Stegostoma tigrinum: one gene and its partners. The main gene of each other region encodes a partner of the protein of the gene in region 3 in a complex. Links are inferred from orthologs where the notes say so. Each region holds a gene or a part of one and is shown on either strand. Other genes may lie near its edges. The genes, in order: tyrosine-protein phosphatase non-receptor type 22-like, pag1 and csk.

Region 1 (10,465 bases), on a different chromosome or scaffold from region 3:
GCATGTGCATCAGATTTTCTATGATTCTCCACAACTAGTTCAGCCACTCACTGTTTCCTTTCACACGGAAATAGCAACACCAGCAGGTGCTGGAGTCACAGTTAATACAGTGTGGAGCTGGAGGAGCACAGCAGGTCAGCCAGCATCAGAGGAGCAGGAAAGGCGACATTTCAGGTTAGGTTCCTTCATCACCACTGCGGAGGGGAAAGGGAGCTCAGAAATAAATAGAGGGAGGGGAATGGGCTGGGTGAACGTAGGTGGGATGGTGATAGGTGAATGCAGGTTCGGAGTGGTGGGAATTGGCTAGTGAGGTGGGAGGAGCACATAGGTGGGAGGGAAGATGGACAGGTTGTGTCAGGTCAAGGAGGTGGGAATGAGAGGGAGGGTTGGTCATGGGATGAGGCCGGGGGTGGGGAGATTTTGAAACTGGTGAATTCTTTGTTGAGGCCATTGGCAGTAACCTCCTGATACAGAATATGAGGTGCTGCTCCTCCAGCTTATGTGTGGCCTTATTGTGACACTGGGGAAGGCCCAGGATGGACGTGTCATCCAGGGAGTGGGAGTGGGAGTTAAAGTGGCTGGCGACTGGAAGGTGCTGCAGAGCGCAGATGCTCCACGAATCGGTTAGCGAGTCTGCGCTTGGTCTCACCAAGGACCACAACACCCCCCCTCCAGTGATGCATTTCTTGCATTTCCCACACTTCTGCCCTCAAACTGCCTCCTCCAAACAAAAATAAGGACAGACTGCCCCAGTCCTCACATACCCCCGCCAACGTCCACATCCAGCCGATCATCCCCCACCAATTCTGCCACCTGCAATCCGACCCCACCACCAAAGAGATATTTCCCTCCCCAACCCTACCTGCTTTCCACAGGGACCATTCACTCCGCAATTCCCTTGTCCGTTCCACACTCCCCACTAACCCCTCCACTCACAGCACCTTTTCCTGCAACCGCAGGAGGTGCTACACCTGCCCCTACACCTCCCCCCTCACCCCCATCCCAGGCCCCAAACAATCTTTCCAAATCTGACAGGGGATCACCTGTACACCCCGCAGCCTTGCCCACTGTATTCATTACTCCTGAAGCGGCCTCCTCTATACCAAGCGCAGACTCGGTGACTGATTCATGGAGCATCTGCGCTCTATATGTTATTGTCAAGAACACCTTCTGGTTGCCAACCATTTTAACTCAACCTCCGACTCCCTGGGTGACATGTCTCCAGTGGCACAATGATACCACACGGAAACTGGAGGAACAGCAACTCCTATTCCACCTCGGTAGCCTACAACCCGATGGCTTCAAAATATAATTCACCAGTTTCAAGCTCTCCCCACCCCTGCCCTCATCCGATGTCCAACCCTCCTTCTCATCCTTGCCTCCTTGACCTGAGACAAACTGTCCATCTTCTTTCCCATTTGTCTGCCCCACCCTTCCCATGTCCTATCTCCACAGCCCCCTACCTGCACCCACCTATCACCATCCCACCTACCTTACCCCAGCCCAAATCCCACCCCCCCATTCATTTCCCAGCTCCATTCCCCCTCCACAGTCCTGAAGAAGTGTCCTGACCTGAAACGTCAACTCACCTGCTCCCTTAATGCTTCCTGGCCTGCTGTGCTCCTCCAGCTGCACACTGCATTGACTCAACTGTTTTCATATTGTTCCAAGCAATTGTCCTGCAGCAAAGAACCAAATCAATGAATATGAAGGAAATTGTCATGCAGTATTTTAAGAAAGCATCAAGGAATCTCTCTGAAATTAGCATGATGGTCTCTTGGAATGAAATTATTATTATAATTCAAGGTTCATGTTGATATCACTGCTATCACATCCTCAGGGATATCTTCACTACTGCGCAGCCAATAAATCATTCTTGAATCTGAGCACAGCAAGGACCCTAATGCAAATATCTTTGATGAATAATAAACATTGACCAGGACCATCCTGGTCTTCTTCAATAATGCAAGGAGTTCTTTCTGCATACGACCAAGCAGTTTACTTTCTCAGTCGAAGAGAGGGGAACTAGCAGATGGTGGAGTTCTCATGTATCTGCTGCTCTTGCCATTCTAGATGGAAGTGGCCGTTGGTTTGGAAGATAATGTCGAAGGAGCTTCGGTAAATTTCTATGGTGCATCTTGTAAATGGTACACATTGCTTCCATCGAGCATAGGTGGTGGAGGGAGAGGATGCTTGTGGATGTTGTTTCAATTAAGCGGGCTGTTCTATCCTGGATGGTTTCCAGCTTCTTGACTTTTGTTGGAGCTGCACTCAAATGGGAAATATTCCATCACACTCCTGACTTGTGTCTTGTAGGTGATGGACAGGCTTTGGGGAGTGAGGAGGTGAGTTACTAGTCACAATATTCCCACCTTCTGAACTGCCATTGTAGCCACTATGTTTATGTGGTGAGTCCAGTTGAGTTTGCGGCCAAGGGTAACCTGCAGAATGTTGATAGTGAGGGATTCATTGATGCTAACACAAGGGGTGGTCGTTAGATAATCTCTAATTGAAGATGGCCATGGCCTAGCATCTGTGTGGCATGAATGTTACTTGCCACTTGTCAGCCTGGATATTATCTATTTCTTGTACCATTTGAACACAAGCTGCTTCAGTATCTGAGGAGTCGCGAATGGTGCTGAGCATTGTACAATCATCGAAGAACATCCCCACCTCTGACCTAGTGATGGAGGGGATGTCATGGATGAAGCAGCTGAAGATGGTTGGGCCTAGGACACTATCCTAAGGAACTTCTATGGAGATGTCCTGGAGCTGAGATGACTGATGTCGATTCACCACAACTATTTTCTTATGTGCCAGGAATGAACCAAACCAGTGGAGAGTTTGCCCTGATACCCATTGATTCCAGTTTTGCTAGAGCTCCTTGAATGGGGGAAAATGCAGGGCATGACATTGCAGATTGTGCTGGAGTACAATTCTGCTGCTGTTGATGGCCCACAGCATCTCATGGATGCCCAGTCTCGAGTTGCTAGATCTGTGTGAAGTCTGTCCCATTTAGTGTGATGATAATGCCACACAGCGTGATGGAGTTTATTCTCAATGTGAAGGTGGGACTTTGTCTCCACAAGGACTGTGTGACAGTCACTTTTACCGATACTGTCATGGACAGATGCACCTGCAGCTGGCAGATTAGTAAGGATGAGGTCAAGTATGCTTTTCTCTCTTGTTGGTTCCCTCACCACCTGCTGCAGACCCAGTCTAGCAGCTCTGTCCTTTAGGACCCGATCAGCTCGATCAGTCGTACTGTTGCTGAGCCACTCTTGGTGGTGGAATTTGTAATTCCCTCCCAGAGTACGTTTTGCAGCTTGGCCACCCTCAGTGCTTCCGAAAGTGTTGTTCAATATGGAGGAATACAGATTTATCAGCTGAGGGAGGATGGTATGTGATAATCAGCAGAAGGTTTCCTTGCCCAGACTTAACTTGAAACCACGAGAATTCATGGGGTCCAGAGTCACTGTTGAAGACTCCCAGAGGAGCTCCCTGACGACTGTATCCCACTGTGCCGCTCCCTCTGCTGGGTCTGTCCTGCTGATGGGACACAACTTATCCAAGGATAGGGATGGTAATGATGGTGTCTGGGATATTGTCAGTAAAGGGATATTCTGTGAGCATGGCTGTTGCCTGACTAGTCCATGAGACAGCTTTCCCAATTTATCTAAACCTTACTGAATCGTTTTTGTCTGGTTTACCTTGTTCTAGATTCTTTTCAAATTTTATGATGAGTCACAGAAGCTTACTTTTCCTCTGACCTCTCCCACCAGCATTTGCAATCTCCTTAGGCAGTTATTAAAGCCCCATCCACAATGAAAAGGAAAAAAAACAGAAAGGTATGGGCTTGTGCTCAGAATCAGATGAATTTACAGCTGAACAACATTTAAAACTGAACCAAGGAGGTTGAAGTAATGAAACACATTCACACATGTTCAACACACATAATCACACATACACAGGCATAAAACACACAGACAGACAGGAAATATACAGACAGTCAAACAAACAGACGCATAGACATAAGTAACACAAATATGCACACAACATGGACAAACACAAGAAGCACAAAACGTAAGACAGACATACACACACAAAGAACAAACACAGACGCAAACATACACACAGAGGCACAAAGCACACAGACATAAACACACAGAGAGGCAACACATAGACACAGGTAAGACATTCACAGACACACACAAAAACAAAACATATAGATGGACAGGCAAATAGACACAAGTACAGACAGACTCACAGACACATAGACAGACACAAACTCACACAAGCATAATTAGATATACACACCCACACACAGGCACACATGCACAAAACACACAGGCAGACACACATATACAGACAGATATGCACAACATGCAAAAAATGCACACCTCCCTTCCTTATTCCTTCATGTCAAGCACTGTGGGTCTACTGATGGAATATGAACTGCAACGGTTCAAGAAGGTAGCTCACTCCCACCTTCTCAAGGGCAACTAGGACTGGGTAACAAGTACTGGGCCAGTTAGTGATGCCCACATCCTGTGAATGAACAAAAATAAGACATACAAAGTGACACACACAAGACATGCACACACACACACACACACACACACACACAAGTTCAGAAGACAGATACACAGACATACATACACACAGACACAGATACACTTACACACACATGTACAAAACACAGAGACAGACAGACACACAGGGACAGACACACATTCACAGTGCACACACACAGACATACACAAATACATACAGGCACAGATATGCACATAGACAGATACAAACTCACAAACAGATACACTCACAGACAGATACATAGAGATATACGCATGTAAAAGAACCATAGCTAACACATACCTCACACAAATACACAACCTCAGAGACTCACAGCAACCCCATCCCCCAGAAATATAACCCCAAACAAATTTTCAGTTTCCCCTACACACAAACAACCAAATAAACACACACATGTAAACACATAGAAATTGCCCACCCTATAGTACACACACAGAACAGGCAGAAATAAAATACAGAAGTATATAAATAAAAGTAAAAATGGATTAGATATCCAAGATTATGTAACATATTACATGCCAAATTTGTCTTTACAAGTATTATTGTAAAGTGATTTGAAGCATTTTATTCCAATAAGGGTGTTGTTTGTGTGTAGGGGAGACTGAAAATTTGTTTGGGGTTATATTTCTGGGGGATGGGGTTGCTGTGAGTCTCTGAGGTTGTGTATTTGTGTGAGGTATGTGTTAGCTATGGTCCTTTTACATGCATATATCTCTATGTATCCGTCTGTGAGTGTATCTGTTTGTGAGTTTGTATCTGTCTATGTGCATATCTGTGCCTGTATGTGTTTGTGTATGTCTGTGTGTGTGCACTGTGAATGTGTGTCTGTCCCTGTGTGTCTGTCTGTCTCTGTGTTTTGTACATGTGTGTGTAAGTGTATCTGCGTCTATGTGTATGTATGTCTGTGTATCTGTCGTCTGTACGTGTGTGTGTGTGTGCATGTCTTGAGTGCGTCACTTTGTATGTCTTATTTTTGTTCATTCACAGAATACAAGCTGTTACAAATCAATCACAGTTCCCTAACTTAAATATTTTAATGTAAAAGAGCAATCTCTCGAGTTGGAAAATGGGTGTAAAACTTTAGAGGCGCCCAAAAAAAACACGAGCGTATACCAAACAATGCAGATACTGTCTGCCATCGCCAAGAGGCACTAGGACCCGCAGAGAGCCTGTCTCTCTTCCCTTCTCTGACCGCAGTAACAGTGACTGCTGATTCCCTCCTGCTTGTGTTAAAACCGCAGATATGCAGTTCAAAGTCCTGCCTTTCAGGCCAGTTAAGTCTCAGCCTCTGTCATGTCCCGCAGTCGCTGGGCAGAGTTACCAGCAGCTCGCCAGCTGTCAGCATGGACCAAGGAACCATCCTGGTGAGGTTCCTCAGGCAGGTGCGCAACAAAGAGGAGATAACCTCGGGGGAGTTTCTGGTGAGTCTCTTATTGAGTTTGCTCTGCTAAAGGCGAGCCTGAGGGACAGAGAGTGAGGTACCGCTGTCCAGGGACACTCTGCCTTCTTTGAACGTGGGGAACTGACTGAGTCGGTTAGAGACAGGAGATAGTCCCGCTGTCTCCCCTCAGACCTGACACAGGGCTTCCTGCTTCTTCATTGAGCGCAGGGTCTCGCACTCGGGTTTCTGTGATCTTTTACTGCATTGTAAGAGTTGAAAGAGGAACAGTTTTCACCGCCATCAACTAAAGACCGTAAGTGGCTGGGGCGCGGAAGGAGATCGCTCGGCCCATTGAGTGGCTGCCCGTTCGCTATCGAGAGATAGAGCAACGAGTCGCTTGTGACTCGGAATTCTGTCCTGCGGATGTTTGCATTCGACGTTCAGTTTTTACAGAGAAAGTAGAATCTGAGGCAGTTTTCATGCTTAGAGGTGTCTGACTATGAATAATAACTGGTCCCTGCGAGTGTATCTGTAGTAGATAGAGGGGAACCCAGGAATATGTGAGTGTATAAACTAGGTCCTTGCCAGTCGGTCAGTGAGGATGACCTGGAGTGCTGTGTCACGTTTTGATCTCCTTACATAAGAAAGGAAAAAAGTCACGGTAGAAGCAGTTCAGAGAAAGTTCACTTTGCTGCTTCCTGCTTGTATGACCATGAAGCATTGAACAAGTTGGACATCTATCCTTTAGAGTTTGGAAGAATGAGAAGTGATCGTATTGAAATATGGAAGGTCCTGAGGAGTCTTGCCAGGTCTGGTGAGATAGGGTGTTTGCCCTTGTGGAGTGGTTCAGAATCGGGAGACACAAATTAAAAATAAGGGGTTTCCTATTTAAGAGAGGGACAAAGAGGGATATCTTTCTCTCAGTGAACTGTTAGTCTTTGGAACAAAAGCAGAAATTGCTGGTGAAACTCAGCAGGTCTCGCAGTGTCTGTGGGAAGAAAGCAGAGTTAGCGTTTCAAGTCCGCTGACCCTTCATCAGAATGTCATCATTAGTCTTTGAACCTGTTTCACTCAGAAAGCATGGAAGACTGGGACATTGGGTTAAACAGAGTGTTGATCAATGAGTAAGTATGGGGTTACAGGGGTCTGGGGGTGGTGGCAGACAGGACATTGGACCTAAAGCTACAACCATATCAGCCACAACCTTATTAAATGGCAGAGCAGGCTCAGAAGGCTGAACAGCCTACTCCTGTACTTAATTCTTGAATTCTTGTGTGTACACATTTGCCGTTTTTCAGGGGCTTCCTTCCGATGAAAGACTCTATCCCTGGGATTTAAGTTTCACTACAAACCTTTTCTATAAAGTTAAACTCATGTATAGTTCTGACCAAAGTTACTCCAACCCCTTTTAATTACGATTTTTGTCAGAAGATAATTTTTTCGACACTGTTTGCAGAGCAGTGAAAGGTATAAAATGGCAGGCCATTAAAGGGATTTGAAGATACTTTTGAAGTTAAGTTACTGGTTTATTTTTAGTACTGTGTAGCTATTCACAGACAACTAAACAACATAACGGAAGATCGTTCAAAATGGCTTTCTAGGCCACAGGAACTTCAACAGTATAGCTGGATGACTGAATGTAGAGAATTCAGCCTCATCAAAATGTCCACAAGCTTTCATCTGTACTCTGTAGCCCATGATTATACAACAGAGATCATTTAAACCATGGTCCATGTTCTGGCTCTTTTTCGGAGCTCATTATTTAGTTCCACTCCCCTGCTCTTTCCCCATCAGCCTGCAAACACTGTTTCTTACCGAATTCTCCTTTTGGAGATCAGTATTAAATATGCTTCCTCTGCCTTTGGAAGAACCACAACACCAGTTCTCCAAACCATCAGTTATAAGGAGACATTACATCAACTCAAGATAATAAAATGTGAGGCTGGATGAACACAGCAGGCCCAGCAGCATCTCAGGAGCACAAAAGCTGATGTTTTGGGCCTAGGCCCTTCACCTTATCTTGGATTTTCCAGCATCTGCAGTTCCCATTATCACCATTACATCAACTCAGCTTGTATTCCTTGGGTGATTTTGATTTAAGTTTTAGGATTTTGACAGAAATCGGCAGGGGAGAAAGCAGGCTGTTCCTGCTGGTAGGTGCGAATCCAGGCCACGAGGGTGTAAGCTTCAAGGGAGAACCAGGCAGTTCAGGAGAGGAATGGAGAAATACTTCATTTAAAGATTGATAGCATGATGGAACTGTCTCCAACAGAAAGCAATAGATACAAGCTTAATAATCATTTAAAAGTTTTGAATGGTGAGTTTTTTTTGCCATAAAAGGATGTGAAGTTAACACAACAAGGTGTAGATCTGGATGAACACAGCAGGGCAAGCAGCATCAGAGGAACAGGAAAACTGATATTTCGGGTCTGGACCCTTCTTCAGAATTTCAGCCATTACAGATCCTCACCCTTAACTCCACCTCTCTCACTTACTCCCAAAATCCCTGATTCCTCATTTCCATGTCTCAGTTTCCTCAACCTGTGCAGTAATCTCTCAGTATCAATCCTGTCGAGTCATTCCAAATCCTTCATGTTTCACTGAGTTCACCTCTCATTCTTCGAAGCTGCAAAAAATGTTGACCCAGTTTACTCAGTCTCTCATTGCAGGAGAACCCTCTCATTCCCAGGGTCCAATCAAGTGAACCTTTATTCATTGCCAGTTCAATGTTGGTAGCAGATGTCCTTCAATTTAAGGATACTCGTTGTAATAACTCAGGAAGCCTTATTGGAAAGGAACATCATTTATTGTTGAATGCCAAAACAGTGCCACTATTCATGGTGTATGTAGGCTCATGCCACTCTGGAACAGACAGTTCTAGGTCTGCTTTATTCTTTTCTTGTTATATCCATACATATTATCACTCAAAACTGAATGGCTTTCCAACCATGAAATCACCATGACTTTTGTTAAATCTGTTTTTAAATTATCAACTACAACCTGGGTTTGTGTTATTTTCCTAATCAGCCTACTCAGACATATTATTACACATCTCAGGAGCAGGGAGGACTTGAACCCAGATCTCTCAGTTTAGTAGTAGGGAAGCCATCACTGCACCACAAGATCCCCTTGCAATCCTCTGCTAAGACCTCAGTTAACCGGCTTGGGATGGCATGGTAGCTCAGTGGTTAGCACTGCTACCTCACCCCAGGTTCAATTCTACCTTTGGGTGACTGCGTGGAGTTTGCACATTCTCCCCGTGTCTGCGTGAGTGTCCTCCGGGTGCTCTGGTTTCCTCCCACAGTCCAAAGATGTGCCGGTTAATTGGATTGGCCACGCTAAATTGCCTATAGTGTTCAGGGGTGTGTGGATTAGTTCGGTTATAGGGAGATGGGTCTGGGTGGGATGCTCTGAGGGTCGGTGTGAGCTTGACGGGCCGAAAGGCGTATTTCCACACTGTCGGAATTTGTGATCTTAACAGGAGTTTCAGCTGCACAGGCTGTAACCAAGGGAACGCGTACTCACCGAGGTCCACAAGGAGATTTTGGCTCAGTGGTTAGCACTGCAGCCTCACAGTGCCAGGGACCCGGGTTCAATTCCAGCCTCGCATGACTGCGCGGAGTTTGCACATTTTGCCCGTGTCTGTGTGGGTTTCCTCCAGGGGCTCCGGTTTCCTCCCACAGTCCAAAGATGTGCAGATAGGTAGACTGTCCATGTTAAATTGCCCTGTAATATCCAGGAATATGTAGACCAGGTGGATTAGCCATGAGAAATGCGGGGTTACGGCGGTGGGATGATCAACCGAGTTTCGATGCAGACTTGATGGACCAAACAGCCTCTATCGGCACTAAGGGGATTCTATGAATCTAACTAATGATTCCCTGTGGGCCTTGTAGGGGTTATCCCACCAGCCCATTCAGTGTCATGAGTCATGGGTTATCATGTGACTGAACAGGCTGACTTCGAAGCTGCAGATCATTGAGCACTCAGGACAGGATGTGCCTCGATGTAGCGGGACTCAGTATGCAGGATGTGCTTCTTTTGCTTGTCTTCTCCTCCACTCCTCTGCCTCATCTATAAGACACTGGGGACTCAAACTTTGACCTGGCTTGATGGACAAGTTGTCACCATCTAAACAATTGGTAACGATCTTCTCACTGTCAACGTCATTGCTACTGCACTTCATAGTGAGTCTGAAGCAGTTTCTTTGTCCCCCCTCCCCCCGCCAGATCACTGGCCATTTGAGAGGTGACAAAACATGACATCATGCAGGAGATATTCTTTGGCCATCCAGATTCAGTATCTACTCATTGATTCCCTACAGTGTGGAAGCAGGCTATTCAGCCCACACTGACCCTTGGCTAACCCACCTAGCCTGCGCAGCACGGGCAATTTAACATGGCCAATCCACCTAATTTACACACCTTTGGACTGTGGAAGGAAACCGGAGCACCCGGAGGAAACTCACGCAGACACGGGGAGAATGTGCAA
Region 2 (11,297 bases), on a different chromosome or scaffold from region 3:
AATTATCCTCAGTGCATCTCTTACATCTCCTAAAAGTCCAAAAGACTCAACAGCCAGTTTACCAGTAAAAACTTTAATGGTTACACTCCACTTTCTCCCTGCCCTGCATATCTATCAAAAGATCAGTCTTGCCAACTTTCTTCCAATGTGGGTAACTCTCAATTGCCCTCTGAAATGGACTAGCAAGCCATTAAGTTGTACCAATCACTACAAAGTCTCAAAGGAATGAAACATGATGAACCACCTGACATCACCTCAAGCACCGGAAACGCTAACAGCAGAAACAGCCCTGTTAACCCTGCAAAGTCCCCCGTAGAAGCTATTGCCAAAATTGGGAGAGCTGTCGCACAATCGAGACAAGCGTCAGCCTGACATAGTCATACTTATGGAATCATGCCTTACAGATAATGTTCCAGACAACACCATCACCATCACCATCCCCATCCCCATCCCTGGATATGCCCTGCCCCAACAGCAGGCCAGATCCAGCAGAGGTGGAGGAACAATGGAATACAGTCAGGACAGAGTTGCCCTCAGAGTCTTTAACATTTACTCCAGATCCCTTGAAGTCTCATGGCTTCAGGTTAAACTTGGGCAAGGAAACATCTTGTTGATTACCAGATACCGTACTCTCTCGGCTGATGAATCAGTACTCCTCTGTGTTGAACGACACTTGAAGGAAGTACTGAGGATGGCAAGGGCACAAAATGTACTCTAGGTGAGGAATTTCAATGTCCAATGCCAAGAGAAGCTTAGCAGCAGAACTACTTAGCAAACTGGTCAGGTCCTAAAGGACACAGCTGCTAGGCTGGGTCTGCAACTGGTGGTGAAGGAACCAGCAAGAGAGAAAAGCATACTTGTACTCATCCTTACCAATTTGCAGGTTGCAGATGCATCTGTGCATGATAGTACCAATAAGACTGACCACCACACAGTACTTGTGAGAAGAAAAGTGCCATAATCACATAGAGGATATCCTCAAATCAGGTTTTTGGCACTATCCCCATGCTAAATGGGACAGACTTCAAACAGATCTAGCAACTCAAGGCTGGGCATTCCTGACGCACTGTGGGCCATCAACAGGAGCAGAATTGTACTCCAGCACAATCTGTAACCTCATGGACAACGTATCCCCCACTCAACCATTACTGTCAAGCCAAGGGATCAACCCCGATTCAGAGGGCAGTGTAGGAAGGCTTGCCAGGATCAGCCTAAAAATGAAGTGTCAACCTGAAGTCACCAAACAGGGCTACTTGCATGCCAATAGAGATCAAAGCGATTCCACAACCAACAGATCAGACCTAAGCTCTGAAGTCCTGCCACATCCAGTCATGAATGGTGGTAGATGATTAACTAACTCACTGGTGGAGGAGGCTCCGCAAACATCCCTTTCATCAATTATGGAAGAGCCCATCAGAGCAAAAGATAAGGCTGATGCATTCGCAGAAATCTTCAGCCAAAAGTGCCCTGTGGATGATCCATTGTGGCCTTCTTCAGTGGTCTCCAGCATTACAGATACCAGTCTCCAGCCAATTTGATTCACTCTACATGATATCAAGAAATGGTTGGGGGTACTGAATACTGCAAAGTTTAGGGACCTTGACCACATTCTGGCAATAATACTGTAGACTTGTGCTCCTGGACTTGCTGCTCCTCTAATCAAAATCTTCCAGTATAGTTACAACACTGACATCTACCTGACAATGTTGAAAATTGCCCAGCTTTGTCACATACATAAAAAGCAGAACAAATCCAACTCAGCCAATTACCATCCCATCGGTCTACTTCTGGTCATCAGTAAAGTGATGGAAGGTACCATCAACAGTGCTGTCAAGCAACACGTGCTCAGCAATAACCTGCTCAGTGATGCCCAGTTTGGTTTCTGCCAGGGCCACTCAGCTCCTGACCTATTACAGCCTAGGTTCAAATATGGAAAAAAAAAACTGAATTCTACAGGTGAGGTGAGAGTGACAGCCCTCGATATCAAGGCTACATTTGACCCAGTGTGGCATCAAGTAAAATTGGAATCAATGAGTATTAGGGGGCAAGCTCTCTGGTAATTGAAGTCATACCTGGCACATAGGAAAACGGTCATTGTTGTTGGGGGCCATCCTTTGAGGTCCAGGACATCTGTGCAGGAATTCCTCAGGGTAGTGTCCTAGGCCTAAGCATCTTCAGCTGCTTCATTAATGACCTTCCCTTCATCACAAGATCAAAAGTGGGAATGTTCAGCATCATTTGCAACTTCTCAGATACTGAAAGCAGTCCATGTTCAAATACAATAAGATCTGGACAATACTCAGGTTTGGGCTGACAAGTGGCAAGTCATATTCGTACCACACAAATGCCAGGCTATAACCATCACCAGTAAGAGAAAATCTAACCATCACACCTTGATATTCAGTGGGGATTCAGTGATAGTAACGCCATTATCAACATCCTTGGTGTTAACATTGACCAGAAACTCCAATGGACCCACCACATAAAAATTGTGGCTACAAGAGCAGGTCAGAGGCTAAGAATATTGCACCTCTGTAAGTAACTCACCTCTTAACTCCCAAAGCTTTCCATCACCTAAAAAGGCACAAATCAGGAGTGTGATGGAATACTCCCCACTTATCTGGATGGGTGCAGGTCCAATAATTCTCAAGGAGCTTGATACCATCCAGAATATAGCAACAGCTTGATTGGCGCCATATCCACAAACATCCAATTCCTCCACTACCAATGCTCAGCAGCAGCAGTGTGTACTATCTATAAGATGCACTGCAGAAATTCACCAAAGATTTTCAGCCAGCACCTTCCAAATTCATGAACACTTCCATCTAGAAGGGCAACAGATACATGGGAATACCACCACCTTCAAAGTTCCCTTCCAAGCTAATCACCATCCTGTTTTGGAAATACATCACTAGTCCTTCAATGTCACTGAGTCAATAACCTGGAATTCCCTTCTGAATTGCATTGTGGCTTAACCCACAGCAGGTGGACTGCAGCGGTTCGAGAAAGCAGCTCACCACCAACTTCTCAAGGGCAGTTAGGGACAGACAATAAATGATGGCCAGCCAGCAAAGCCCACATCCCATGAACGTATCTTTAAAATTCTATAAATTAAAGGTATGAAGCTGTATGGGCATAGCGCAGGAAAATGGTGTTGAGATAGATCAGCCATGATTTTGATGAAGGCTGGTGCAGGCTTGATGGGTAAAATGACCTACTCCAATTAGTATGTAACATAATTAAAAAGAAATGAGCTTTAACTGATGTGCATGTAGCGATAAGCATTTTGTCACTTCAGAACTTGAAAAAGCATGCAATATTTTTTAGTACTGTAATGCAGCCAGTTGGAAATGTTTAGTCAGAACCTGCAAACAATTTCACTCAAAACCATATTAAAAAAGGGAAAATGCATTTAGATGTTTGTGTCTTGACTGTGGAAACTATTTCCAAACTACACCACATAATTTTAGAACATTGAATCCATCTGAAGTTAATGGCAGATTTTACAAAATCACTTGCCATTTATTTCCTGGAATATCAGTTAAACATGTAATTCCCAAACAAGCATTTGTTTTTGTCACTCAACATACAAAATAAAATCACTTGAACACATAATGTGGTATCGAACATATAATTATGTTAAACGATCAGTTTTGCAACATTCCACGGTCATATGATCCCGAAGTTATTGAGAGTGAGATAAAGACAGGTATTTAACATGAGATCAAAGAAATCTTTATCTGAAGGTTGGCTAAACCGTTGGAGAAGAAACTATTTTTTTAAAAAATCACGTTTAAAATCAAGTTTGAAGACACCTCCTCTGAACTCAAGTGCAAATAAAATATTTTTGCATTGCATATAATGCTCAACACTACACAAACTATAGAAGATTTGGACCCAAGTCACATAGACAACTGACGCTTTCTAATGAAAACACAAGATTTATTTAGGTTATCTTGCGAACTGCGTGATTTATCGTTACTAAAGGCGAATATACTGTATTTGGCGCACTCACTAAAAATCAAACTATAAACCGTATGATACCATACATTTTTATTTAATTTCAAATGCCCAGCATTTTTAGCCTCGAGCAATTCCACAAATGTCAGTTTCTCATTGTGCTCAAGGCAACGAGACAAAGTATTACGATCTGTACATCTCCGGCGTGAAGAGTACAACCATCAAATCATGAGACTTTCTAGCTACTAGTTAATAGATGTTGAGCACAACTAATAATTTCCATATTTCACAAATCTGGCTACGAAACTGAACGTTTACAAAGGGGATTTTAAAAGAAAAAAAAACTTACCATGAAAAATGATGAAAGAAGTCGCTAAATCTCGCAGCTGCTTCACACTCAAGTTGATAGAGCTTAAGCACGAACATAAACAGCAACTAAAGTAGTCAATTGTAACGTACTGTATATGTAACTGTATGAAGAATAGAGATCACACATTCAGAGCTGTAATAATTTGGTTCCCACCAGGCTCTCCACAGCAGCTACACTGCTGCGATCCTTGGCTCTGGCTCTGCTCCTCCCACACTCAGTGCGACACCCAAGTCGCTACAAACAGCTGGGCAGGGGCGGGGTACGCATGCGCACGCGCTGCCCTGAACAGCGGGATCCACGCTCCGACACAGAGCGCCGCAGGCAGGCAGGCGTCATCAGAGGGGGTGATACTGACGTCATGACGTCCCGCCGCCTGTCCGAACGCATCGCCGACGCTCACCGCAACCTTCAGGTCGCAAGGTGTAGAGCAGGATGAACACAGCAGGCCAAGCAGCATCACAGGAGCGGGAAGGCTGACGTTTCGGGCCTGGACCCAGGGCAGGAAATGGACTGCAATTCCCAGAGCGCACCGCGGGTACCTATCACCCCGCCCCGGCCTCTTGGGAGGCACGTAAGATGGCGGCGGCTAGGGGTCGAGTTGTCCTGAGAACCGTGAAAGAAGTTATTGTGCAGTTCTGTCCCTTTGAGTCCAATGTTCGCGGCGCCAGGTAGGAAAGGTCTCAGAATAAAGCTTCATTTCCTACTCGTTCTTCTGGTGATTTTTGTCTTAGTTTGATAGTTTGCCCCTTTGGTGAAAACAAACTGACTCCTCAACAGAATTAATTGTATTTTCTGGAAGACATGAATCCAGTTGCATGGAAACTGCGGTGCCATAATGGTCTGAGTTCCTATTGTAAATCAATATCAGTATCAATATATGTCCTTCATTTTCGTTTTTAAAATCCAAGCAACTCCCGGTGCTGGAAATCTGAAACAAAACCAGAAATCGCTGGAAAATTTCAGTTGGTCTGGCAGCATCTGTGGAGAGAAAGCAGAGTTAGCGTTTCGGGTCCAGTGACCCTTCTTCAGAGCTGATGGCAACTTGAAAGAAGCATCACTGGACCCGGAAAGTTAGCTCTGCTTTCTCTCCACAGATCCTGCCAGACCTACTGAGATTTTACAGCAATTTCTGTTTTTCTTCCTCCACACTCCGATTATGCCTATGGAAGATTAAATAGCAATGCAGATATTGGAGATTTCTTTTAAAAAAAGCAATATGCTGAAAATCTGAAATAAAATTGGAAACATTTAGTTTATCAGGCACTGTTAGTGGAAAAGAAAGTGGAGCTGAAGCCTTCACTCTGCTTTTGTGTTATCTGGAAAGAAAAAAACTATGCACAGTGAAGCTGAAGATGCTAAGTCAATTGCTGTTACAGGGAGCCACCATGGATATGACTGGGAGAATGGTGTCTGGTGTAGCCCTTTTGTGATTCCATATGCAGAGGATGTGATATATGTGGCCTATCAGAAAAATCTTGAGTTAAATCTCAGAGCCTTCTGACAAAGACACAGGATGGGGAGTCAGATCTATGTAGGTAAATGAAGAGAAATATTGCTGCAAACCAGGATTTAAGGGAATAATTTTGGACGGAAGGGAAGTGGTGTTCTGGAGGAATATGCGCTTGGGCCACTATTGTTTACAACGCTAAGGATTTAGTTCAGAAAGTGAGCTAATGTTGAGGAATTTAGAGTTAATCTGAAATTAAGTGAGGATGGCTATAGCCAATAATATGGGTGACTGCACCAAAATATAAAAAGTCACAAACATGCCTGCAGATGAATACGCAAGGATGAAGATGAATGGTGAACTTACCAAGGTATGGCGGTCTGGTCACCCATATCACTCTGTTTACCACACTTTGTCCTTACATTTTCAATGCCAGTTCACTTTGTATATACTGTGAGCAGACCTCAGTGCCCAAAATGAGATGAAATATAATAAAGTTCCAAGTGCTTCTTGCTGAAATCCTTTTTCGAAAAATCTCATTACTGTAAACCAAAATTTGATGTGTTTAACTTTCCTCAACTACATTATATTTACTTGCCCTAGTCAGTAAAATTGAAGTGTTAGGGAACAAAACTGATAATAGATTGTGGAATGAATTGTTCAGTGCAAATCATCCAGTGATAGTCCTCAGGCTTATGCCACCAAGCAGGGAAATGACAGTCACTTTCTTTTTACACTGTAGGTTTCTTAAAAATGTAAATATTAGGTTATTTAAATAACTTATTAACTCCCAGTTCCCTGGACAGATTGAGATTTTCAATATGTTTATCCACTTTTAACATATATTCATGTCTACTTTTAACTGTAAAAGTATATTTGACTGTTCTCAAAGATGCTCCTCACTTATCTAGATGGTTGGCTTCTTGAAGGGGGCATCAAGCCTGAGAAATTTATTAGCATTCTTTGAAGAGATAACAACAATGATAGATAAGTGTGAAGCAGTGGCTGTAAATGTATTTAGATTTTCAGAATGTTTTTGATAAGGAACCGCACATTACACTGTTTAATAAGTTAAGAGACCATGGTATTGGAGGTCATATATCATCAAGGAAAGAGGATTGGCTAACTAATAGAGTTACAATAAGGGGGACATGTTCAGGCTGGCAGTCAGTAACTAGTGATTAGTGCTGGGGCCATTATTATTTATTTGGATGAGGAAAATAAATTTAAAATTGTGAAGTTTGCAGATGACAAAAATAAGAAGGTGAGTGGTGAGATGATGCAAAGATTTTGCAGGTGGGTAAAGACAGTTAAGAAAGTGGGGGAAATCTTGGAAGATTGAATTTAATTTGGCGAAATGTGAAGTTGTGTCCTTTTTGCCAGGTTGAATAGAGGAGCTGAATATTATTTAAATGGAAAAATATTGATCTTATTTGGTGAAGACTTGATGGGCTGAATAGACTACTTCTGTTCCAAAATCTTAACAGCTGTTTAAATAACTCTTGCAGCTTTCAACTATCTTTTAAAAGGTCTAAAGCTTAAGAATCATGTTTTGGTCATTACACTGATGAAAATTGGATATGATTGAAGGCAGCAATGCTGTAAAATATGGATTTACATCTGAATCGTGATTGACCATTCTTCCCGTTTCTCTGTCTCCGTTGCATCTGTTACAGTAAAACCAATGCATCACTTTCGTTGAACTAAGGATTCTTCCCCACACTGCTTAATGAGACTGGTTATGTCTGACCCATTTTCCACAGTTCTGCCCTCACTGGTTGCCTTCCCCATTACACTCCACCCAAATACACACAGCAATAATACAGTTGCCCTTGTCTTCACTTCTGTGCCATCAGACTCTGCATTCAAAGGGCAACCCTCCACCACCCCCATGAGATTTCACCATGAAAAATATCTTTTCTTCCCTTCCTACTCTCCTATTAGCATTCTGCAGGGGCTGCCCACTGCCCCTCTTGTGCTCAACGCCTCTTCACTCAATGGCACCATGCCATGCAATCACAAAGTGTAGAAGGTGGAAAAACTTCTTTATTATCTCCTCACTGCCCACTGTTCAAGGCTTCACGCGAGCACTATACTTTCAGTCTAGCCAACTGTATCTACTGTTCATAATATAGTCTCTTATACTTTTTTGGGACTAACTGCGACTAGATGACTGCTGTAATGAACATCTCTGCACTGTCTGCAAGTATGATCCTGATCTTCTGGCCACCTGCTATTTCAATATGCCATCTTGCTTCCAGTTCCGTCCTCGTTCCTATTTTAATATTCTATGAAGCCCAACACATGCTGGAGGAATAGCAGCTCATTTTCTGCTTGGATGTTTTACAGCCTTCAAGAATCTTTCCCATCTGTCTCATTTGCTCCTTCTTTTCTGTCCCCTTTGTTTATTTGCAACATAAAACACAAGTTTTCCAGACCTGTTCAGTTCCAAAAAAGTCATATCGAACTCAACATTAACTCTGTTTGTCTCTATCTACAGGTGCAATCACACCTGCTCACTTTGCATTTAACAAGTCTTAAGCTGCACCAGTCCAAGCAACTATTAATTTTGTTATGGATTCAAATTTCTAAAAGCTTTCTCACTACAAAATTAAACTGCCCTACTTTGAACAAGGGTGGAACACTTGCAGTTCTCCAGTCCTCTGGAGCTACCTCCATATCTACATGCACAGTTTCCACCCTTACTTAAGCAGTATCTTGACTGAAACATAGAAAATCCTGAAGAGTCTTGACAGGGTACATTGTGAAAGGATGTATGTTTTTGTGGGATCATCTCGAACTCAGGATCTCTGTTTCAGAATAAGGGGTCACCATTTAAGATGGCGATGAAGAGAAATGCTCTCTCGCAAAGGGTCATGTGTTTGCAGCCCTGCTTCTCCAAGGCAGAGCCTTCGACTATTTTAAAGCCAGTGGTATATAAATTCTTGACAAGCAAGACAGTGAAAGGTTAACAAGGACTGTTGGGAATGTGGGATAATCGGATCAGTCATGATTATCTTATTGCATAACGAACAGGCTTGATGGGCTGATTGTTCTACTCCTCCAAATTCATATGGCATTATAGTTACTTCTCTTAATGCCATTGAATACATTCCATTCAACCCTAGCGACTTGTCTTTACAATCAGCTTTTTAATAGCCGTTCTTTATCAACTTGTCATGCACGTGGTATGTCAACTACCACTGCATTGTTTTCTTTCTTGGTGAAGACAAGTGCAAAGTACTTAATTAGCATCTGAGAGATAACCAAGACAACAAAATGTGAGGCTGGATGAACACAGCAGGCCAAGCAGCATCTCAAGAGCACGTGCTCCTGAGGTGCTGCTTGGCCTGCTGTGTTCATCCAGCCTCACATTTTGTTGTCTTGGATTCTCCAGCATCTGCAGTTCCCATTATCTCTGAGAGATACCAGATCTGTTTTGTGGTCCCTAATTGGTTCCACTCCTCCTTTAACCATCCTGTTGTTGTTTGTATGCCAGAAGAAAATCTTTGGATTCCTGCCTTTATGTCAGGTACCACTTTTTTTTTTCCTCAGACTCTGTTGTTGCAATTGTATTTCCTTTCTCAGCTCTTCTCTGAGCTTTCTATATTCAGCTTGGTTCTCACTTGTGTTAACATTTGACATCTGTCATATAGACCCTTTATCTGATTCATTCTACACTCTACTTTGTTACCATTGAACTCCGGCCTTGATTGTTGTCCCTTCATCATGCAAGAATGTACATCAGGTGTACATGAGCCATCTTTTAAAAAGTAGCTCGTTTGGTGACATTTTTATCAACTAACGTTTGATTTTGTTTACCCAGAGCTGGGCTCTTCAATGAAGTATTTTTCCCTCTTATATTGCTGCTTGTTCGTCTCCCAAGCTATTTCAAACCCCGTACTGTAAGACTATCATCGCAGGGTCCTTGGCATATCCTGTCATAGCAACAGGTAAATGGGACTTGGGGTGGCAAGAACACAAAATCCAAAAGAAATGCGAGACTTCAATCCCTCACCAAGAATGGCATAGTAGAACCACTACTGACCAACTGATCAAGTCCTAAACAATAGAGTTTCTTCACTCAGGAGGTCAGAAAATTAACAAGATGGTAACATTTAATTGACCTTGCTTTCACAGATGTAGCTGTAGCTGATGCCCGTGACATCATTAGGAGTGATGCTACGACCATACCAAACCTCCTTAATATATATCAAGGAGATAGCCCAGACCCTAATTTTTATCTTCTATAAAGGCAAGTTTAAGGTGCTGCATTTCATTTGTAATTCGATGGTCACACTACTAGGCGTTAAGCAAAGCACACTTTATTCTTATCCTACGGTTAAAATACAAACAAAAGAAAGAAGAGTCAGTATAAAAACTTTATTGGAAATCTTAACAGAACAGTAGATGATTTAACTACTAAACAGCAACTGTTCCAACATAGCAATATCTCATAAACATACTTTTGGCAAAGGCAAATTCAGTAAAATAGATTGTCTCACATGCAGTGTTTCTCCAGTCCGGGAGAAAAGATGTGGCTGAGAGAGAGAGAGACGGAGCAACTTCAATAGCCAGCTTCAAAACCCCAACAAATACTGAAACTGAACTAAAACCCTGGTTCTTTGGGAGCCTAACACCACTCATTTTTGCTGCTTGTGTTGTACCAACCCCTCTCCAAAAGTAAACCCAGGACGAAATGCACCTCTTAAAGCCAAATTTCGTCATGGTGCCCATCACACAGTCATTGTGAGCCAAAGTCCTACCTTTACTTGCCTCTGTCATGTAGGCTGAATGGGATAGTTTACAAACATACCATAACAAATGGACATTTATGTGGGGCTGAAAGCATCAGATGCAGAATTGTCTTCAACCACAATCTGTAACTGCATGGTCTGGCTTATGCCATACGCAACTGTGACCGTGAACCCAGGAGTCCAAACCTGTTCAGAAACACTGAGTAATGCCCTTCTGATTTCCCTAGCATCATAGATGCAATCTTCAATCAATTCAATTTTCTCGGTGTGTTGGGTAAATGATTGAATGCTGCAAGGGTTATGGACCCTTACAACTTACTGGCAGTAAGACAAACAAGAGTGGGACTTACACAGTTAATGGTAATGCCTTGGGGATCATTGTAGAATAGTGACCTAGGCGTTCAGGTCCATAGTTCATTGATAGTTGTGTCACAGGTAGACAAGGTAGTGGTGAAGGTGTTTGGTGTGCTTACCTTCGTTGGTCAGACATTTGATAGAGGAGTTGGAATGTCATATCGCTTGTTGTACAGAATGTTGGTGAAGTCACTTTTGGTGTACTGTATATGGCTCTGCTTGCCCTCCAGTAGGGAACAGATTATTAAATTGGAGTGGGTGCAGGAAAGACTTGCAATGATATTACCAGAACTGGAGGGTTTGAGTAATAAGGACTGGTTGGATAAGCTGGGATATTTTACACTGGAGCGTAGGAGGTTGAGGGGTGATCTCGGAGGTTTTTAAAATCATGAGGTATAGATTTGGTGAT
Region 3 (10,378 bases):
GTTTTAACTTGAAGCTAATTCTTGAAAAACTCGGAAAATTTGGAATTAATTTTGAAGGAAGAACTGAAACATATACTTACAATTTGGCTGAGGCAGAAATTTAATTATCAGACCCCACCCATGCTCACATTTGCGTCCTCTACAGGCTTTGAAAGCAATCTATATCCCAGTTGGCGCCTAGCTAATTTTCTTGGTGTTTTCACAAATCATTTGTAATTCAACTTTACTGTTAAATCTCTGTTTTCATTTGATGTAAATCAAGATGTAGAAAATGATTGCTATTTAAAGTTACATTGCAAATTGAGGGTAGAATGCATGAAATATTATTTTATATGTTCAGCTGCAGACGGAAAATGTTAATGCCTTCAGCTAAACTGTTTTCATTGGTCAAATGGTTCAGTTGTGGAGGGGGAACTGGATTATTATTGGTCTAGGAATTTAACTGGAAGACAGAGTGCTTGATGGCTGCATCAGAATCTGTCCAGTGATCTATGTGCAAAATCTGCATTGCACTTAGTTTCTTCAGTGCAGACACCATGAAGAATCACACTGGACTGAACATATTGAAAAGACAATTGAAATAGTGCATGCAAAATCCCAGAGACTCGTTGGAGACTTTGTTGTTCGGTCCATTCCTGATCTTTCTTTGTAACAGCAGAAGTGCCATACTTGCCTCTGCTCTCACAGGCAACCAGCAACAAGGATCTGCAGGCAAGTATTGGTACTGAGAATCTGTCAGGTGTGCTTCCCTTTCCCTTTTCCATATTCAGTATTTTACCATGTCTTTCACAGTGCATAACTTACAAGGTATTTACTGTCAATTTTATTTGTTTGTATAGCCATGTGAGTGCTGAAATTATCTGGCCTGAGCACTTCAATGTGTCTCAAATGAGACATAAGTGGTGGGTTCTTTTGGAATTTAACTTCAGTGTGCTGTGCGATTATAACGTGTTGATCATGGATGTCTTTGTAGTTACCATTTTGTTATTTGGGGTGAGGGGGACAGAAAATTTCATTAACCTTGTTAGAGAAATGAGATTGCACCCTAGTAATTTTTATTAACCTTGGTGAATAAGAAATGAAAATGACCTGCAGAGAGATGTTTAAGATTATTAGCACAGAAAGTCAGTCTTTTTTTTGAGCAGAGATATGAATGCAAAGCATTAGCCCTCCTATGTTTTGTTGCTGTGACTGCAGAATGCTGCTGATCTGTTTGAAGGAGTTGGTGCATATCGTCAGTACTGCATCAGTCTGCAGAATAGGCCAGCCTAACTGCCTATGGTAAAATTGTGCACCGGAGCAAGCTGTGATGCGATCAGCAGCTATCATTTTTGCTTTGACGTATTGTTGCTGTTCTGCTAATTAGCTCTCTGCTGTGTTCCTTTACTTTGAAGGCTGGTGCTGTATATATAGAGAGAAATTTCTTAATTGAAGCACGAATAATACCAATACTATGGCCTGATTTAGCATCTTTGTCTCAACCAATTTATGAAAGGCAGTTTTTTAAAAAATAACTGCCTAATATGTGACAGCATTAGCTGTTTTTCCCTAACAGTGAAAGTTACACATTTTAATAATTATGCTGTAATAGCCTAAAATAATTGCTACTGTTTGCAAATCAAATGTATTAGTTCCAATCTTTCATTCAGGGGTGAGAGTTGCAAAACTCTGCTGGATAGAGCTTTGGGGGGAAAAGACAGGCTAGTCTGGAATAATTTTGTTTATTCAGACTGAGATAATGTGCCGGGTACGAAAACTGTAAATCTTGGTCCTCTTTGGAAGTACAGAATCGCTAATGCTGTGCGTTTCTAGTTTAGTGACTCCTCCCCTTGAGTTCCTTGGGAGGAGATATAGCAGCAGCTGCTTATGTTTTTTTATATTGGTGTGAATCCAAAAGTTCTTATGTACTCCACATCAGTATACCTCAGGCTGGGTCCTTGAACAATATGGAGGAATTGAGGCCCTGTTAGAACTCTTGCTGTATTCGACTGCTGAAGAGCTTTGGTCATTTCTTTGTGTATTTAACACAGAGGCACCACGTGAGCTTGCTACCATGAGATTTGGAAACAATTACTCGAGCTTAAACTTGTAACTGGCCAACTTTTGTTCCAAATTGACTGGTGAATAGAACTATTTTACAAAATAGTAGAATTCATGTTACATTTTGTACTGAAACGCAATCCAACCAGTTGATATTGGGTCAGGCCATTGTGACCAGCCACTAGATATGTAAAAGTGCCTTATCTTGTACGTAATGAAAATTGTGATGGGTTAGACAATAAATGGCACTGCTGCCCCAAGGCACCAGGAACCTGGGTTCCGTTCCACCCTCGGGTGACTGTCTGTGCAGAGTTTGTATGTTCTCTGTGTCTGCATAGGTTTCCTCCCAGGTGCTCTAGTTTCCTCCAACAGTCCGAAGATGTTCAGGTGAGGTGAATTGGCCATGTTAAATTGCCCCATAGTGTTGAGGAGATAGCAAGAACTGCAGTTATTGGAATCAGAATCGATACATTGTGGAGCTGGAGGAGCAGAGCAGGTCAGGCAGCATCAGGGGAGTAGGAAAGTTGATATTTTGGGTCAAGACCCTTCTTCCGAACTGAATTGAACTTCAGAACAGTTCTGAAGAAGCCTCCCAACTCCAAACGTCCACTTTCCTATGCTGCTTGACCTACTGTGTTTCTCCAGCTCCACACGTTGACCCGTCGTGTTTCCCTATGTGCAGACTAGCTAGATTAGCCATGAGGAATTGCAGGATGATAGAGCAAAGGGTGGGGCTAGGTGGGATGCTTTTTAATGGTTGGTGTGGGCTCAGTGGACTGGCCTGCTTCTGCCTGACTGTGACTCTTATAAAGACTGCTGGGAATTATTGTTTGCTGTAGGATTATTTTGAAACCCATGTAATTGGCCTTTAATTTGTCAAACCAACTGGATTTAATGTATGCAAGAAAGACACTTCTTTTAAAATGAGGCAAAACACGTTATAGTTAATGTTTAAAGTATCTAAACTTTACAGGTATTTGTGCAACCCGATCATGTTTCAATATATTCAGATCTTTCTGGATAAAAGCTTGGGCTGGGTGACCATATCCTAGATTTTGCTTGGTGTCTACACCTTACTTGAGTATACATGGGGAAAGTTCATGTAGTCTATTATCTTGATTTAGGATGTTTTGCTTTGGAAGCATTGTTGATTACTTTTAATTGTGGATGTGTTGTGCCTGAATTGAGAATTGATTTGTGCCGTTTTAACTGGATGTGGACTGAAGTAGTGGTATCTGTTTGCAAAATGCAACTGTAAGTCAGTGCTTTTACAAATATAGAAAGATTGGACCCAGTTCTGGTCTTCACCAATTAGCTTTCTGGAATATTCACATCTAGTGGGGCTGTCTTTTCTAGGAACATGAGCTGAGTTTTTAAACAAAATATTTTCTTTTAGAGCTACAAGACAAATGTCATATTGCGTGCTGTCCATTTCCTAAAGACACTGCTATGGTTCCTTTAGCTACTTAAAAAGATGGTCCTTGCTTGTTTTTTTAGGTTTGTGAGGGAGGCCCACCATTTAGGTACCTACTGTGATGATGGGGACTGTATTTGGGCCAGTATTCTCTTCTACTTGGTAATTAATTAGGTGTGAAGCACTTTGAGAAACTCCAAGCACACACTGTGCTGCTACATCAATGTAAATTACACTAGGATTGGTTCCAGTAAGTTTAGATCAAGCTCCAGTCTTGACCTAGGGCTACTTCATTCTTAAAAGATGACTCCTGACTGAGTATCCAGGCAGTAAAGGCAAAGTTTAAATTGGCACCACTTTGCAAGTTAAATTTCCTATGTAGAATAACAAAGCTATTTCAAGATGCATGCAGGACATTCTGTAACTCGGAAAAATCATTATTTGTAATTATGGAGTGCCTTCTTACATTCAAACACCCGACGTGCTTCACACTGTGAATTTTAGTGACTAATTAGATCTAGCACAATGCCTTGTGGCACTATTTCCCAGAGCCGTAAATGATGCGGCTGGCCAGTTAATTTATTTGATAGTACGGTATTTGTCCAATGTCCAGTGATTATCTTGGGAAGGTTTAGAGTAGTTTTCCACTGAACCTCTACAAACAAGAATTTTTTTTCTTTGAAAAGATGAAAGGTTTTTTTTACTGTTACGGTACTCCTTTGCCTGTGCATTATTTCTCAATTTAGATCCTTTGACAGTATTTGTTCCCTCTTTTGTGGGTTTGATTTAAGAAAAGCTATTGCATATGCTTGGGTTTAACACTAAATAATTTAACCACATCTCTGTGTACAGTTAAAGACACACTGATTTGTTACTGCCTGCTAATGCAAAGTACATGGATGTAGTTATTTACTTGGATTGTGACTGTCATTGAGATTCTATTCATGAGCAAGTACTTATTGAAAACTGTACAAGCTCTTATTGCAGACAGATCTTCAATTTGAAGTCAGTGACATTAATCTGTTGCAATTGTAAACTCTACTATACTTCTGCCAACTCCTGGTATGGTGTTATATAATCAGCAGTATGTATTTTTCACGTGAATTCTTTAGTCCTGGAGTTCTATGATTCATGAATAACTTGTAGATCTCTTAATTGTGATTATCGTGAGGACTTCCTATTTTACCACACTGGTGCCTGGTGCATTTTTGACTGTTTTGCAGCTCGCTCAATGAAGTGGCACCACATTAAACATGGCAGAGGATGAAACAGAACCTAAGGTCTATTTAGAGGATGAAACAAGGCATAGATAGGGCCTAGTTATTTTACGTTGAATAGCGTACAACTGAAACTGTAGCGCATAACATCTAGATGGTGTGAACCTAACAACTGGTTTTAAGCGTAACGCTGGTGTTTGAGTTTAAATAAATATACAGCTATTTCTATTTTAGTCTTTTTTTTTGGAGTTTTTAATTTATTACTTGCCATGGTCTCCTGGCAACCATCATTATAGTGGCTTAGTGTCATTGCAAGAACCAATGAGTGAAAAGAATGAGCTGGTGTTACAGTGGAAGAGATCACCAACAGCTGTTTATTGTGACCTTTTTAAGCTAACTTATTCTCACTGCTTTGTGGTAAAAGTATTGAGGGTAACTAAAAGTTGCTTGTTTTTTTTAAGGAGAGTCTTAAAGGAGGAAAGAGTCTTGGGAGAGAATAGACGGCTGAATACATGCCTGCGCGTGGCCAGATAGTCAGGTAAAGCATATAAGAGATGCCAGAAAGGTTGGAGCTATGTAATGACAGAGTTCTTGAAGAGTGTAAGGGTGTGTTGGCTTTAGGAGGACTTTTTTAAAGTCAAGATTTTCAAGACATGAAATTGTTTTTCAATCAAATATGGCCTTTGAAATGCGAAAGGCCAAACCCAAAAAATGAATTTTTGCAGGGTTCTAGAGCTATTAACCAGATCAATATTCTGCTAAATTTTGTTATTTTCCATAACAATACTGACGTTCTTTTGAACTGTGGAGAGAATGCTTATAAGGACAGAATGGAAAGTGGAGTTGAGACTGAGATCAGATTAAAAAATCCTTGTGTCGTCGTCCTAGTTTTCAGAGATAGAAATGGCAGCATTTTTGTACCCTGAATAACTCTTGAATTGAGCATTGAGAGCGGTTAAGAGTGAACCTTATTGTTGTGGGCCTGTAGGCACGTGCTAAACGATTTTGTTCCCGAAGGCTACTAGTGAACCAGATTTTTGTGACAATTGGTAGTTTTGTGACATAATCACTGAGTAGAAATCTGCAATGTGTCTGTGATTATGAGCTTGTGTAGTTTTTTAGTTAGGAATGTGCAGGACTGCTACTTGCATTTTGCCCTCATGTATTTTCGGAAGAGCCTTTTGGTCCCTCTTTCAATTTGTAAACGAAGAAACCAACTGTGAAAAACTCAGAAGTCATTGTATCTGCGTGACAATATTGTATACATCAAAGTAGTTATTGTATTGAAATTTCAGCTACAGCTGCCTTCTTGTTTACCATACACACCTGTTAGATTGGAATTCTACAAGTAAATATTGTCATCCAGCAGAACTGTGGCTATCAAAACAACGTGAAAGTTCTTGTATATTTTGTGTTGTCTGATATGCAGTTTGCAAGTGTTTATTGTGCTTATGCTTAGAAACTCTGGATATGTTGCATTGGGATAACTGGTAGGAGCAAGAAAAATGAGAGAATATGGGCAAGAACAAAGTTGCTGAAAAAGCTCAGTAGATCTAGCAGCATCTGTGAAGAAAAAAACAGTTAACGTTTCAAATCCGGTGGCCTGCCCTTAGTACTGGAGGAGGGGTCACAGGATCTGAAATGTGACTTTTTTTTTTGGCTTCACATACTGCCAGACCTGCTAAGCTGTTCTAGCAATTTTTGTTTTTCTTCCTGATTCACAGCATCCACAGTTCTATCAGTTTTTATTGAGAGAATACGGATTTGGTCATTCTGCCCACCCTTTTTTAATGAGATGTCCCAGATTGCTGTATTTTTCAAATGGGAGCCTTTTAGTGTTCTGGGCTATGTGTGTGCTTTCTGATCTGTTTCGTCTTTGCAGCTGTGTAGTTTCTGTACCCTTGTAGAAAATTTTAGGTAAGGATATCCTAATTTCTTTTTGCCCTTGCATTGCCCATTAGTGATAGGCAGGTGGTGTGAAAAGATGATGTATTGAAAAGATCTGTTTTGGATTTTGTTTCATGCTGTTAGTGTGCAGAGACATTATACCACAATTTCTTGTTGCTTTCATGTTTAATTTGAGATGTTTCAAATAACGGACATTTTGTGACTGAAGGGTTAAACCTCAGACAGCATTATAGCATACACCAGATGGTGGCACTTCATCACTGTATTAATAAATTGTATTAATGACTTTTAAATACTTGATCTGTATTCATTTCGTTTAATACCTGAAAGTTGTGATAAATTGCTTTTATCTTCTGTATGATAGTACCGTCACTTTTTAGTTGGTTTAAAATGAGCTTACATTGAGGCTTTCTGTTACATTTTCTGGAACATAGTGCATCATTTAGGTAGATTCTGGTAGTTCTGTACAAACGTGTGCAGTATTTTTCTGAATGTAAAATCTGTCTGGCAAATGGCTGCACGACATTATTGCACCCTTTTCATTTTCGATGGTTACAAAGGTTCCTGCGGTGCATGGTGATCTTGATATTTTTTTTTGGAAATGGCATTTACTTCTCTTGTGCTGGTGCAGTGTAGAAATGCACTCCTTAGTGTTCTCTAAGCCTGACTACAGGAACAAAGTAGATTCAAGGCAGGAATTGTAGAGTGCTGAATTTCTCTCCTGCTCTCTGGTATCTTGCTGTGGGAGGAATAGAAATGTGGATGTTATGGGAGGAGGGGGACCTGGAGATTGTTCTGGGTGTTTTAAACAATGTCGGGTAGAAGCTAATTATATAACAGATTCTGGTGGAATGGTGACATGAATTTTCCAAGGCATTACTCTTTTATAATTCCAGTGAATAAAAGCAGGAACAGCAACACAGCAGAGTGAAATATAGAAGCTCAAACTGGGCTTAACCTGAATAAATGGAACTGAATCTCATGGATTATTTAATTTTTAATTTTAATATGTTGAACTTTAATGCCAGTAGTGTGGATTTGTTCCTTATCCCCTCATCCCACTTACCATCCTCACTTTGTTATCCATTGATTATCCTAATGTATTATAAAACCCAACTAACCAATTATTTAGTGTCGTTGATTATGTGCTATTACATTGGATGTAATATTTTGTAAGAAAATTAGTTGCCATTACCGAAAGGAGTTGTGAATAGTTGCTGGAGAATTGTTTCCCTCGCTCCCCCACTGGAAAGTGAGGAGTACATTCTGCATTCATCACATAGGGGAGACCATTCACCTTTATCAGGATTTCTTGCTGCTTTTGGCAATTCCTCACCAGCTGCAATTAATGAGAGATAATTTCCTGTATTTATCTTGATTTCATTTTAAATATTCATGCTTTCTTTAAACAAATGTTTACTCCTTCAAGCAAGTTATAAAATTAAAAGAAACATCAAAACTTATGTTTTGTTTGCTGCTTGGAAATAAGGACAATTTTTTAAATTTTGTAATTTGCATAATGTGAAATAAATTCCTATTTTTAACGGTACATCCTTCACTTCCGAAGACCATCGCAGTGACTTCTTTTTGCCCCTTGAACATTTTAGCAGTCAAAAGATGATTTGTTTGCAGCAGTGCCTTCCTCAAGAAAATGGTTCCAGATTTTAAGGTCTTTTTAGTTCCCAACTCCCTTTATCCGCAAGAAGAAAAAGTTGTATTTATAAAACATGTAAGACCCAACTGTTTAACAACAAAATCTGCTCCACATCCAATTAAGTATTATATTTGAAGTATAGTCATTACTATGGTGTCAGAAATGGATCTGGATTCCTTGCTGGCCTGCTCCGGGTTGAAACTAGGTTGACACCAGTGCAGTGAGGATATGCTCTTTTCTGCTTCGTTCTCACATGGACTGAAAATCTATTTGTCACCTATTTAACCCTGGGGACAGAGCATTCTATCAATTTAAACTTGGGGACAGAGCATTCTATCAATTTAAACCTGAATTCAGGGGTTCCCTTCAGAGTGCCACGAGTTTAAATTGAGGGCTTTATAATTTGCAATCTAAAATAATTGCTTTTTAATTTTTATTTAATTACCCAAAATAACGTATGTGGTCACGTTAATGTCGTAGACCAGGAAAAAGTGATGTAAGACTGCCTGTTCCTCCTTCCTCGAATGTTGACTTTTTTGTAACTTCTTTCAGTGAAACTAACTTAGCTGATCTACCTTCGCATTTGCTAGGTTGGCATGTGAAAATGCCATTTAAAAGCTCCACGGTTTGAATTTTTAAAAAAAAATTCCTAAGGGCTTGATATCATAGGGTGGATCAGTAATGTTTTTATTTGGTTCCATACTTTGGCACTTGGCAAGACTGCTGTTATTTTTCCAGTTTTTGAAAATGTTCAAGTGGTTTTCTATTTTGTTGAGGACATGACACAATAAATCTCACAATATCTCTAACAATACTGTGTGTAGGAGTGAATAATAATAGGTTATACACATGATCTAATGCAATTGTTGTGCAGTCTTTGGCAAGATCAGAATAGATGGCCCAGATTTTAAAGTACACTGCAAACCTTTATTGAACATAGGCTTCAAGCTGATTAGAGTAGTATTATTGGTTAGTGATGTCATAATTGCTTTTGTATGGGTAATAGAGGAGGTGAGAAAAGGTATTCAGTTGAGTTTCACAACCTGAGCGACTTCTGAGAGAACTTTAATTGTAAAGTTTCAAGTTTGTCAGTGTTTGTGCACCTAGTATAAGAGAACTGATAACAACGATGTTAATTCAAGAATTGTCATTTGGATGCTGCTTTCCAGTCATCAGAATTAAGCAAGTGCTGATGTTAATATCTCTTCTGGTTTTATTTTCTAAGCTCTGATTTCACTTGTGCACAAACAAGAAGTCATCAATGTAAGAATGGCAGAAAGAGACTAGAGACTTCAGAAGTCACTTCACCTGGAAAGTGAAGAGAATGTGGAATCTGTTATCGCAAGAACTCATTGAGTCAAATGACAGTTGCGGGAAACCTTTCGATGATCCAGAGGAAATTTGTCAGTGCTATTTCAGGGTCGAGAGATTTTATCTACATCAGGAGCAAAGGAGAGATTGCAGGGAGATTTGCTGGAGGTGTACAAGATTGCGTGTCAGATTTCAATAAAGTAGGCAGATTTTTCATAATAGTTACTGGTACAAGGACGACAGTACCTATTTTTAAAATCTTGACCAAGGGATATAGGAGATGTAATAGAGAACTTCTTTACAAAGTGATTGGTATTGTTCTGGGTGTTTCTGCGTACATCCAAGGCTGGTAGAAGCAGAGACATTGATGTTGAAAGGAAATGGCTTGGGCACTCAAATAAGCTTCCAAGGCTGGGGAACTAAAGTAGAGCAGTGAGACAGCTGTAGAGTTCCACAGAACCAATGCAGTGTCAGTGGGCAGGGTGGTTCTCTACTGCAGCATAAAACATGGCATAGAAGTGTAGTTGATCGTCAAGAAACCAACGTACAATTGATGGGCTGAATGGCATCCTTTTGTACGATTCTCAGAGAAACTGTGAGGACAATGGAATTATGCTGATTGTTGGATCAGGAACAATAGGAGAAGTGGGATTAAAGCATATTGTTGGAATGAACAGGTGGACCAAAATGTTTCTTTTTGTGTTGTATATCCTATGTAATTTTGAGTATTCCATGTCTAAGCTTGTATTCAACCTTAGACTGCAGTAACTTGTTTTAATTAAGTCTATCTTTTTTCTTGGACCTTGATTTCAGTGCATGAAATCACAAAATATC

What was found.
Region 1: the proteins of csk (region 3) and tyrosine-protein phosphatase non-receptor type 22-like are in contact, whole or in part, in an NMR structure (PDB 1JEG), measured with the Mus musculus proteins. The link is inferred for Stegostoma tigrinum from reciprocal best matches to the Homo sapiens genes CSK and PTPN22. Residues at the interface, in NP_001291690.1 of Mus musculus: Phe20, Thr23, Gln26, Ala40, Val41, Thr42, Lys43, Asp44, Asn46, Trp47, Ile59, Pro61, Asn63, Tyr64; in NP_033005.1 of Mus musculus: Pro614, Pro615, Leu616, Pro617, Glu618, Arg619, Thr620, Glu622, Ser623, Phe624, Ile625, Val626, Val627.
Region 2: the proteins of csk (region 3) and pag1 are in contact, whole or in part, in an NMR structure (PDB 2RSY), measured with the Rattus norvegicus proteins. The link is inferred for Stegostoma tigrinum from reciprocal best matches to the Homo sapiens genes CSK and PAG1. Residues at the interface, in NP_001025210.1 of Rattus norvegicus: Thr88, Arg89, Glu93, Arg107, Ser109, Thr110, Asn111, Tyr112, Thr117, Cys122, Glu123, Lys125, Val126, Glu127, His128, Tyr129, Arg130, Ile140, Asp141, Tyr156, Asp161, Gly162; in NP_071589.1 of Rattus norvegicus: Phe291, Ser292, Leu294, Tyr296, Lys297, Ser298, Arg299, Glu300, Glu301, Leu305, Ile310, Met313, Tyr314, Ser315, Ser316, Val317, Asn318, Lys319.

What each region holds. Positions count from the first base shown.
Region 1 is NC_081374.1:3,306,095-3,316,559, forward strand, and holds the start of tyrosine-protein phosphatase non-receptor type 22-like, read left to right. Parts: upstream 1-5,852; 5' UTR 5,853-5,936; coding exon 5,937-6,014; intron 6,015-10,465. UniProt on the Homo sapiens protein: Acts as a negative regulator of T-cell receptor (TCR) signaling by direct dephosphorylation of the Src family kinases LCK and FYN, ITAMs of the TCRz/CD3 complex, as well as ZAP70, VAV, VCP and other key signaling molecules.
Region 2 is NC_081358.1:21,348,586-21,359,882, reverse strand, and holds the start of pag1 (phosphoprotein associated with glycosphingolipid-enriched microdomains 1), read right to left. Parts: upstream 4,529-11,297; 5' UTR 4,310-4,528; intron 1-4,309. Other genes in the region: mrpl53 (39S ribosomal protein L53, mitochondrial), read left to right, coding at 4,907-4,998. UniProt on the Homo sapiens protein: Negatively regulates TCR (T-cell antigen receptor)-mediated signaling in T-cells and FCER1 (high affinity immunoglobulin epsilon receptor)-mediated signaling in mast cells.
Region 3 is NC_081389.1:17,787,603-17,797,980, forward strand, and holds the start of csk (tyrosine-protein kinase CSK), read left to right. Parts: upstream 1-5,168; 5' UTR 5,169-5,183; coding exon 5,184-5,209; intron 5,210-10,378. UniProt on the Homo sapiens protein: Non-receptor tyrosine-protein kinase that plays an important role in the regulation of cell growth, differentiation, migration and immune response.